2 linked regions of the Mus musculus genome follow. The protein of the gene in region 1 interacts with the protein of each later gene in a pairwise test. Links are inferred from orthologs where the notes say so. Each region holds a gene or a part of one and is shown on either strand. Other genes may lie near its edges.

Region 1 (3,500 bases):
TTTGGCTCCCCGCACCCCATTCCCTGTGGCCAGCTTGAGCCTGGGGCTTTAAGCCCCCCTCTGTGGCCTCTCTGAGGCAACTCAGGAGCTTGAGAGCCCTGGCTCTTCAGCAGCTGCCCTGCATTCTCCGTCCTGTCAACCCCACGGGTTCCCTGCCTCGGCCCCACCCTCACCTCATCTGTGCTTTCCTTCCCAAGATGGGGGCTCTTCCAACAGAAGCCAGTTTCTTCTCCTGCTCTGCATGCACCCCCATCCCTACCCCCCACCCCCCATGCAGAGGCAGCCAAGAAAATGACTTGTCATGCTGGGGTGGGGGGTGGGGGCGGAGCTGGAGCTGGAGGCTGAGCTTAGCGCGCACACACACACACACACACTCACACACTGCGGCAGACTGCAGCTGCCTGAGCACCCCCCCCCCCGCCTCACTGCAGAGACACCTGCCCTCCTGCCCACTCAGCTTCACACCCGAAGCCCACCCCCAACCACAGCACTGGCTGTGGGAAGCGCCCCAATCTCTTAAGATAGTCTTCTGCAAAGATAAAGGGGAAAAAAAACCCGGCAATTCCCTTCATTGGAAGAGCTGGGGGGCAGAAGAGAGAAACCAGGCTTCTCCCAGGATAAGGAGCGATGTAATGGACTAGCTCCCCAGGAGTGGGGCTGGGGGTCCTGTGTCAGGCCAGGAAGTGGGGTCAAAGGTCTTGTGAGGATACACTGGGGACCGTGAAGCTGCTGGAGTAGGGAGATGGTAGCTGGAGAGGACGTGTCTTTCTGTTCTACCTAGATTGAAGTGTGACCTTGTTTGTGATGGGGGAGTCCTGGCTCTTCTAAGTCTGACTTAAGACTGGCAGAGGATGGAGATAGCCCAGGCTGCGTAAGCCCTGCTCCTGCCTGCCTGTGCCAAAGTGTCCCTCCACTCCCAAGTTCACAGAAGAGGACCCAACAGGCCCTGCATAGGATTTGGGTCTCTGACACCTTCATCTTCCCCATAGTTGCATCTGCTGCCTGCTCCTTGGCATCAAGGCTCTTCCTCTAAACAAAGGCCCTGGCCCCAGTCACCCTTGTCCCAGCCTCAGAAAAGAAAAGGGAGTTGGAGTCGCCGAAGAGGGCTCCAGGGAACGGACTCTGAGCCTCCCCTCCCCAGTATCCTCCAGCTGCCCCTAAGGTTAACCCTACGGTGACTGCTACTGTGCTGGAAGAGGAGGCAGATGGGAAGGCAGGAACCTGGGAAGTCGGGTCCATCCTTCTTAGCCTCTTTCTCACCCACTGTGTTCTTTACTTTCACTGCTTAGTGTTTTATGTGGGTCTGGAGAAAGCCCTGGGGAGAGGATCTGCCCCCCCCCCCCCATCCTAAGCAATGCCTTGGCTGTTGTTGGCGGTCCTGCTTTTTATTTGGCTAGGTGTTTTGGGATAGAATTCTCTGTGTGGCTCTGGCTGTCCTGGAACTTAACTGGCTTTGAATTCATAGAAACCCAACTGCCTTTGCCTCCCGATTAAAGGTGTACGCCACCACCATGCCCTGCTTGCTATTGTTTTTAATTCTGTGGTGTGTGTGTGTGTGTGTGTGTGTGTGTGTGTGTGTCTGTGTTTGTGTCTGTGTCTGTGTGTCTGTCTGTCTGTGTGTGCGTGTATAGGTAGGTCAAAAAACAGCTTGCAGGAGTCATTCCTCTTTGTACCTCCAGTCCTAGGATGCTTGGCAGAGAGCATCGCTGGCCCTGTTTCTTGTTTTGAGCCAGCCACTTACTTTCTGTACTCTGAGGCAGGGAACTGGTCGCAGGGATGATGAGTTCTGCAGCGAGCTGGGTGTCCCTAGAGCCTGGGCACGTGAGGGAGATAGAGGAGAGGGAGCTGTGAAATACTTGGGAGCACGGTGGTGGGAGCACGGCTCTGACACGGAAGGCTTGGCAGAGTCAGAAAACAAAATAGCAAGTTAGAATCCTCTGTCCCCTCCAAGAAACCAGTTGCCACGTGTCTCCATCATCTTCTATTACAGGTGTTCTGTCCTTGGGTAGGGGACTTGGGGTGGAAAGGAAGGGGAATCTGAGACAGAAGCGCCTAACTCCTTACTGCCAGCCGCGGGCAAAGGCAGAGAAAGCTCCGTAAAGACCGCCATCCCTGGAGCCCTCCCCCCACCCCCAATCCCCAGGCAGCACCAGGAACTTAGTGCTCCAGAGGGACAAAAAGCTCCTTGTCAACAGAGCTGTCTGGGGCTGAAGTTCTAGGCAAAAGGGCGGGGACTGGGCAGCATCGGAGGGTGTGGCAGATGGAGGGAAGGGAGAAGTCTGCTACCGTGGGGGAGAGGAGGGAGAACCCTGGAAAGGGAAGGGCTGGAGGAGGCAGTTCCCAGGCCTCCCTTAGTGGCATCCTAGATGACTGGGTACCCTGTACCCCATTTTCTGATCATTTGTTTTTCCTCCCCTGTGCCCCCCCCCCCAGTACTTCTCATTTTAAATCAATACCTACTGATTTCAGTACACATGCCTACATCTCTCCCTCAGGCCAGAGGACCCTCTGCCACCAGAGTGAGACCCTCGAGACCATCATCCTAGTCAACCCCACTGCAGACAGCATCAGCTCAGAGGTAAGGCCAGTGCCTGCGCCTCGCTTGTTCTGAGTGCTATAACCGACCCTTGGCGGCGCCACTATACCTCGGGCTACTATCTGAACTGACTTGTGATCCTCAGCCCCACTCTGGGGAATACGGAGTGAGGAATGTGTCCTTATATCACTGAAGGGGGCAGGGCAGGGATTTTCAGTGCCTTTCCCTGGGTGCCCCATACCTGTGCCTTCTCTGCCCTCCATTTCAGGTTCACCATCTTCTTAGTAGCCCATCAGCTCACAAACTCCTCATCTTGAGTGGACAAACTTTAGAACCCGAGGGAGACCTTATCCTACAGAGTGGTACTTACTCATATCAAAACTTCGCCCAGGTCCTTCACAAACCTGAGGTGAGTTCCCTGCTGCGTGTCTTGGAAGAAGGGGACAGGAGGCAGGACTTAAGTTGTAGGGAGAAAGGCAAGGGAGGGGAAGTCTTATAAACACTGACTATCAGGAACCCTGACAGGAGGTAGGCATTTTACCTCAGAAAAAGGTAAAGAGTAGGGGCTGAATCTGGGTCAGACTAAGATAACCCCAATGATTTGATCAGCTTCTCTTTCCTATTCCTCTAGATTGCCCAGTTGCTTAGCAATAGAGACCCTGGGATCCAGGCCTTCCTCACTGTTTCCTGCTTAGGGGAGGGTGACTGGAGCCACCTGGGACTGTCTAGTTCCCAAGAGACCTTGCACCTCCGGCTAAATCCTGAGCCTGTGCTGCCCACCATGGATGGAGTGGCCGAGTTCTCCGAGTATGTCTCTGAGACGGTGGATGTGCCGTCCCCCTTTGACCTGCTTGAGCCCCCCACCTCAGGAGGCTTCCTCAAGCTCTCCAAGCCTTGCTGTTACATCTTCCCTGGTGGCCGTGGGGACTCTGCTCTCTTTGCTGTCAATGGCTTTAACATCCTG
Region 2 (4,234 bases), on another chromosome or scaffold:
CGTCCTGTGTGGCTGGGTCTACAGGTGGGCAGGCCTACCACTGCACGGACCATTTTTACTGCTTCTTTAGGGCCCAGCATAGTGCTAGGTCTTCATGATGCTCAGGTGGGAGGAAATCCTGGCCCTCGGACAACTCACAGTCCAGAGAGAGAGACAAAGAAATGGGTCATAAGGTCATCATGACATGGTCACTGAGAAAGCTTTCTCTTAGCTGGTACCCCTAGCCTAGCCCTCCATGAGGACCCCACGCAGCAATGTTAAGCCATTTCCCCACTTTCTTTCCTCCTTTTTCTTTGTTCAGTTTCTCTTGGGGGCGGGGTAAGGCCCTCTTTGACGCCCTTTGCAGCTTTCTGTCTTTCCTATTTCTTACAGTGGACTGGCTTAAATCCTTTAAGATAGGAAGAGGTGTCATCTCCTGCAGGAAGTGGTAATTCACGAGTTAAGACCTGGTGTGTATGAAGAAACTCCATCCTCTGTACAGAAACCGTGTGCCCACCGGCAAGTTCCCTGCGAGGCCGCATGCCTGCTTTCCCAGCTTGAAGCTTTTCATCTGCTCCATGAGAGTTGTTGGGATAGATGGGTTTCCTTGCACAGTGTACTTCAAGCAGTTCTCTGGCTTTAGGGCGAGAATCAGATGTAATGTGGTAGGACTGGGTGAAGGTTGCCTGCCCAAGCTGGGTGCTTTCTTTTTCAGCGGAGTGCCCTGCACCTCGCTTTCCTTTGTCCTACAGCTGTGTGTCTCCTAGATTCCTCCCCTTATCTTCTTCACCCGGAGACCTAAGTGTGGGCCTTGAAGAGAAAGCCGAGAGGGGACTCACCCAGGCCCACACAATTTACTGTTAGCCTTTCTCAGTGAAAAGGCTGCCCTGGGTAAGTGTCAGAATTCGGCCCAGAGCACACGAGGGGTTAGTTATCTAAACAAAGTTAAGAAAGAACGAAACCCTTGGCTAGGTAACAAAACCGTGCACCGGTGTCTGTTTAAGTGAAAACAAAACCACGTTAAAGGCGCCGCCCCTCCCCCATGCTTGATCACCCGTAGTTCGCTCGGAAGCTAGATAAAGCTGAAGCCCTGGGAGCAGCCAACGCCCCACAAGAGTGTAGCTCGTCTCGGAACTGCCCACCCAGACCCGGAGGGCTCCAGGCTGCCTGCTCCACGATGTCGCACTCAGAGAGGCTGCGACGAAGGCGGGGACCCGGCGGCCACACAACCCCACGGGGCGGGTCGCCGCGCAGACTCCACAGTCAACGCCTCTCCCAGCCCCGCGGACAGGGCAGTCAATCAAGCTAAGGCGAACCCGCCTTCGGACTGCAGCGGGCGACCAATCGGAGCCAAGCTCCGCAGCGATGAGCTCAGCCCTATGGCTTCCCATTGGGTGGCTATATTAAGAAAGTGGCCGGACTCTTTAAATAGCGGGCGCTAGGGCCGCAGCCCGCATCTGCCACCGCAGTTCGGTTGTCGTCGTCTGCGCCCCTGTACCCTAGGTCTAGAGTGAACCCGCCCCGGGAAAGAAGCTAGGCCGGGTCCGCAGCATCAGCCATCACTTCGCACAAAGCAGCGCAGCTCCGGGACCGCCGAGGACCACAGCGGCGCGGCAGCGGCGCGGCGACACTCAGTGCACCGTATGCCCCTGCGCCCCTGCCGAGGCAACCGGAGCGCCCCGAGAGACCGCGCCGCCGCGGGGTCCAGGTGCAGTTAGCGAGCCTAGCCCGCAGCGCGCAGTCGCGGGAGAGCGGGGAGCGGCAAGCAACAGGGAGCGGGACGGCGGCGAGGCGCTCGCGGGCCCCTCCTGCTGCCCGCGCCCGGCGAGCTCATGGCGGCCATCCGCAAGAAGCTGGTGGTGGTGGGCGACGGCGCGTGCGGCAAGACGTGCCTGCTGATCGTGTTCAGTAAAGACGAATTCCCCGAGGTGTACGTGCCCACCGTGTTCGAGAACTATGTGGCGGACATCGAGGTGGACGGCAAGCAGGTGGAGCTGGCGCTGTGGGACACGGCAGGCCAGGAGGACTACGATCGTTTACGGCCGCTCTCCTATCCGGACACCGACGTCATCCTTATGTGCTTCTCGGTGGACAGCCCGGACTCTCTCGAGAACATCCCCGAGAAGTGGGTGCCCGAGGTAAAGCACTTCTGCCCCAATGTGCCCATCATCCTGGTGGCCAACAAAAAAGACCTGCGCAGCGACGAGCATGTCCGCACGGAGCTGGCCCGCATGAAGCAGGAGCCAGTGCGCACGGATGACGGCCGCGCCATGGCGGTGCGCATCCAAGCCTATGACTACCTCGAGTGCTCGGCCAAGACCAAGGAGGGCGTGCGCGAGGTTTTTGAGACGGCCACGCGCGCCGCGCTGCAGAAGCGCTACGGATCCCAGAATGGCTGCATCAACTGCTGCAAGGTGCTATGAGGGACGCGTCCTGCCTCACGCCCTTGCCAGCGTGGCTCCCCCTCCTTGGCCCGGTCGCCCACGAACCGGGAGAAAGGGAGACCCATGCCCCCAAGGACACCACCAGACTGCCTGACATCTGCTGGTGGCTCTGGCTGGTCACGCTGAGAATTAGCGTGGGCACCGAGCTCCCCCTTCCCAGTGTCTGTGTGTGTCCAGCTGTGTGGCACAGGCCTGGGCACCCTGCTGAGTGCCAAGGGGTTCCTGAGCATCCTTTTCTAAAGAGCCAGGCCTCAAAGTGTGGTTGTGTGTGTGTACGACTCCCTACACCCCACCCGACTCCTGCCCCACCCCCGCCTCTGGTTTCCCCAGGGGCACGCAGAGTGGTTGCGCCCCCAGCAGGTTTGCTTGTAACCAGCAAGCCACTACTGTTGCTCCATGTCTGTAACATAGACCCCTGGAATGGCGGGAGGGGAGGGCTGGGGGGAGGATGGGGCTGTTACATAAATACAGATTTTATTTTCGGAGGCAGAATGGTATTGTTTAGTGGTGTGTGGGGCGACCAGGGCCCAGAGCAGCTCCTTTCCCAGGCTGGGTCAGGCGCCCACCCATCCAAGCATGAACTGGACTTGGCCATCTTTCCACACCCTGGGGAAGACATTTGCAACTGACTTGGGGTCGAGAGGAAGCAGCTCAGACAGTGTCTCCTGGGCCAACCCCCAGCGAACCTCCGGCAGAGGATCCAGGGTGTGCAGTGGGGTCACTTTTGCCATAAGCGAACTTTGTGCCTGTCCTACAAATGAACATTGTTCAGCTCAAGAGACTATTGTTACTGAATTTATTTAAACGCTGAAGCTTTTTGTTGTTGATGAAAGAGTTCTTTGCACAATTGTCCCATTGTTTGACACCCAGTGTACTTGTCATTTGCATAAGACAGCATTCTGACCACACTTGTATGCTGTAACCTCATCTACTTCTGATGGTTTTTTTAAAACTATGATGACTCTAAGATTACAAAAACAACTAACTTTTGCTTTGTTTTCTTGAAAAAAAAATGTCAACAGTGTGAATTTTTTCTTTAAATTTGTGTAGCATACGCAGTTTTGGTAAAGGAAGGCAACAGGTATTGGGGTCTATTTAAACCCCCCCTCCCACAAGACAAGTCTCTTCTGTGTGAAATTTTCTGTACGTTCCATGTGCAGAGAAAAGCCTCCCCCCTCTCCCCCCCGCCAGCCCAGTGGTACTTCTAAATTGTCTTGTTTTGTTTTTGTTTTATTTTTTTTAAATAAACTGACAGATGACAAATGGTGAACTTATGATGTTTACATAAGAGTTCTATAAGCTGTGTATACAGATTTTTATGTAAAATATTAAAAGACTATGATCATGACATTTATAAACAGCTCCTGTGGCTTAATAGTGTCAGAAGATGTCTGAATTGGGGGTAAGGGAAGAGTTCTTGTGGAGGTCCTTTCTGGCAGTAACTGCAGCCTCTCTATAGTAGTAAATATGGCCATGAGCCTGGCACCTTTTAGGGGCTGGGTGACCCTGAGAGGCCAGGTTATTCCTGTCAGATTCCCGGAGGAGGCTAAGCTTGTCGTCCATCAGACACCCAGAGTGTACTAATTATTGTGAATTTAGTCCCATTAGGTGAGGACAAAGGTCTTGGTTTGACTTCATCTATAGGTCTTTAAGAAGTGTCTGAAGTTTATTCTGGGCTCTACTACTCTCACTTCAACAATAAGAAAGGTTGCTGTTTGTGAATGTTAAACATAGATGACTTTATTATTATTATTTAAAATGTTTTTAGGGGGGTGGTTAATCACATGTGTGGACCAGGCTAGAATTTAAGA

Evidence for each region.
Region 2: the proteins of Map1a (region 1) and Rhob interact in a two-hybrid assay, tested with the Homo sapiens proteins (2 studies listed by BioGRID and IntAct). The link is inferred for Mus musculus from reciprocal best matches to the Homo sapiens genes MAP1A and RHOB.

Annotation. Positions count from the first base shown.
Region 1 is NC_000068.7:121,296,102-121,299,601, forward strand, and holds part of Map1a (microtubule-associated protein 1A), read left to right. Parts: intron 1-173; exon of another isoform or gene 174-253; intron 254-2,495; coding exon 2,496-2,578; intron 2,579-2,804; coding exon 2,805-2,945; intron 2,946-3,167; coding exon 3,168-3,500. UniProt on the Homo sapiens protein: Structural protein involved in the filamentous cross-bridging between microtubules and other skeletal elements.
Region 2 is NC_000078.6:8,497,210-8,501,443, reverse strand, and holds Rhob (rho-related GTP-binding protein RhoB), read left to right. Parts: upstream 1-1,434; 5' UTR 1,435-1,811; coding exon 1,812-2,402; 3' UTR 2,403-3,783; downstream 3,784-4,234. UniProt on the Homo sapiens protein: Mediates apoptosis in neoplastically transformed cells after DNA damage. Not essential for development but affects cell adhesion and growth factor signaling in transformed cells. Plays a negative role in tumorigenesis as deletion causes tumor formation.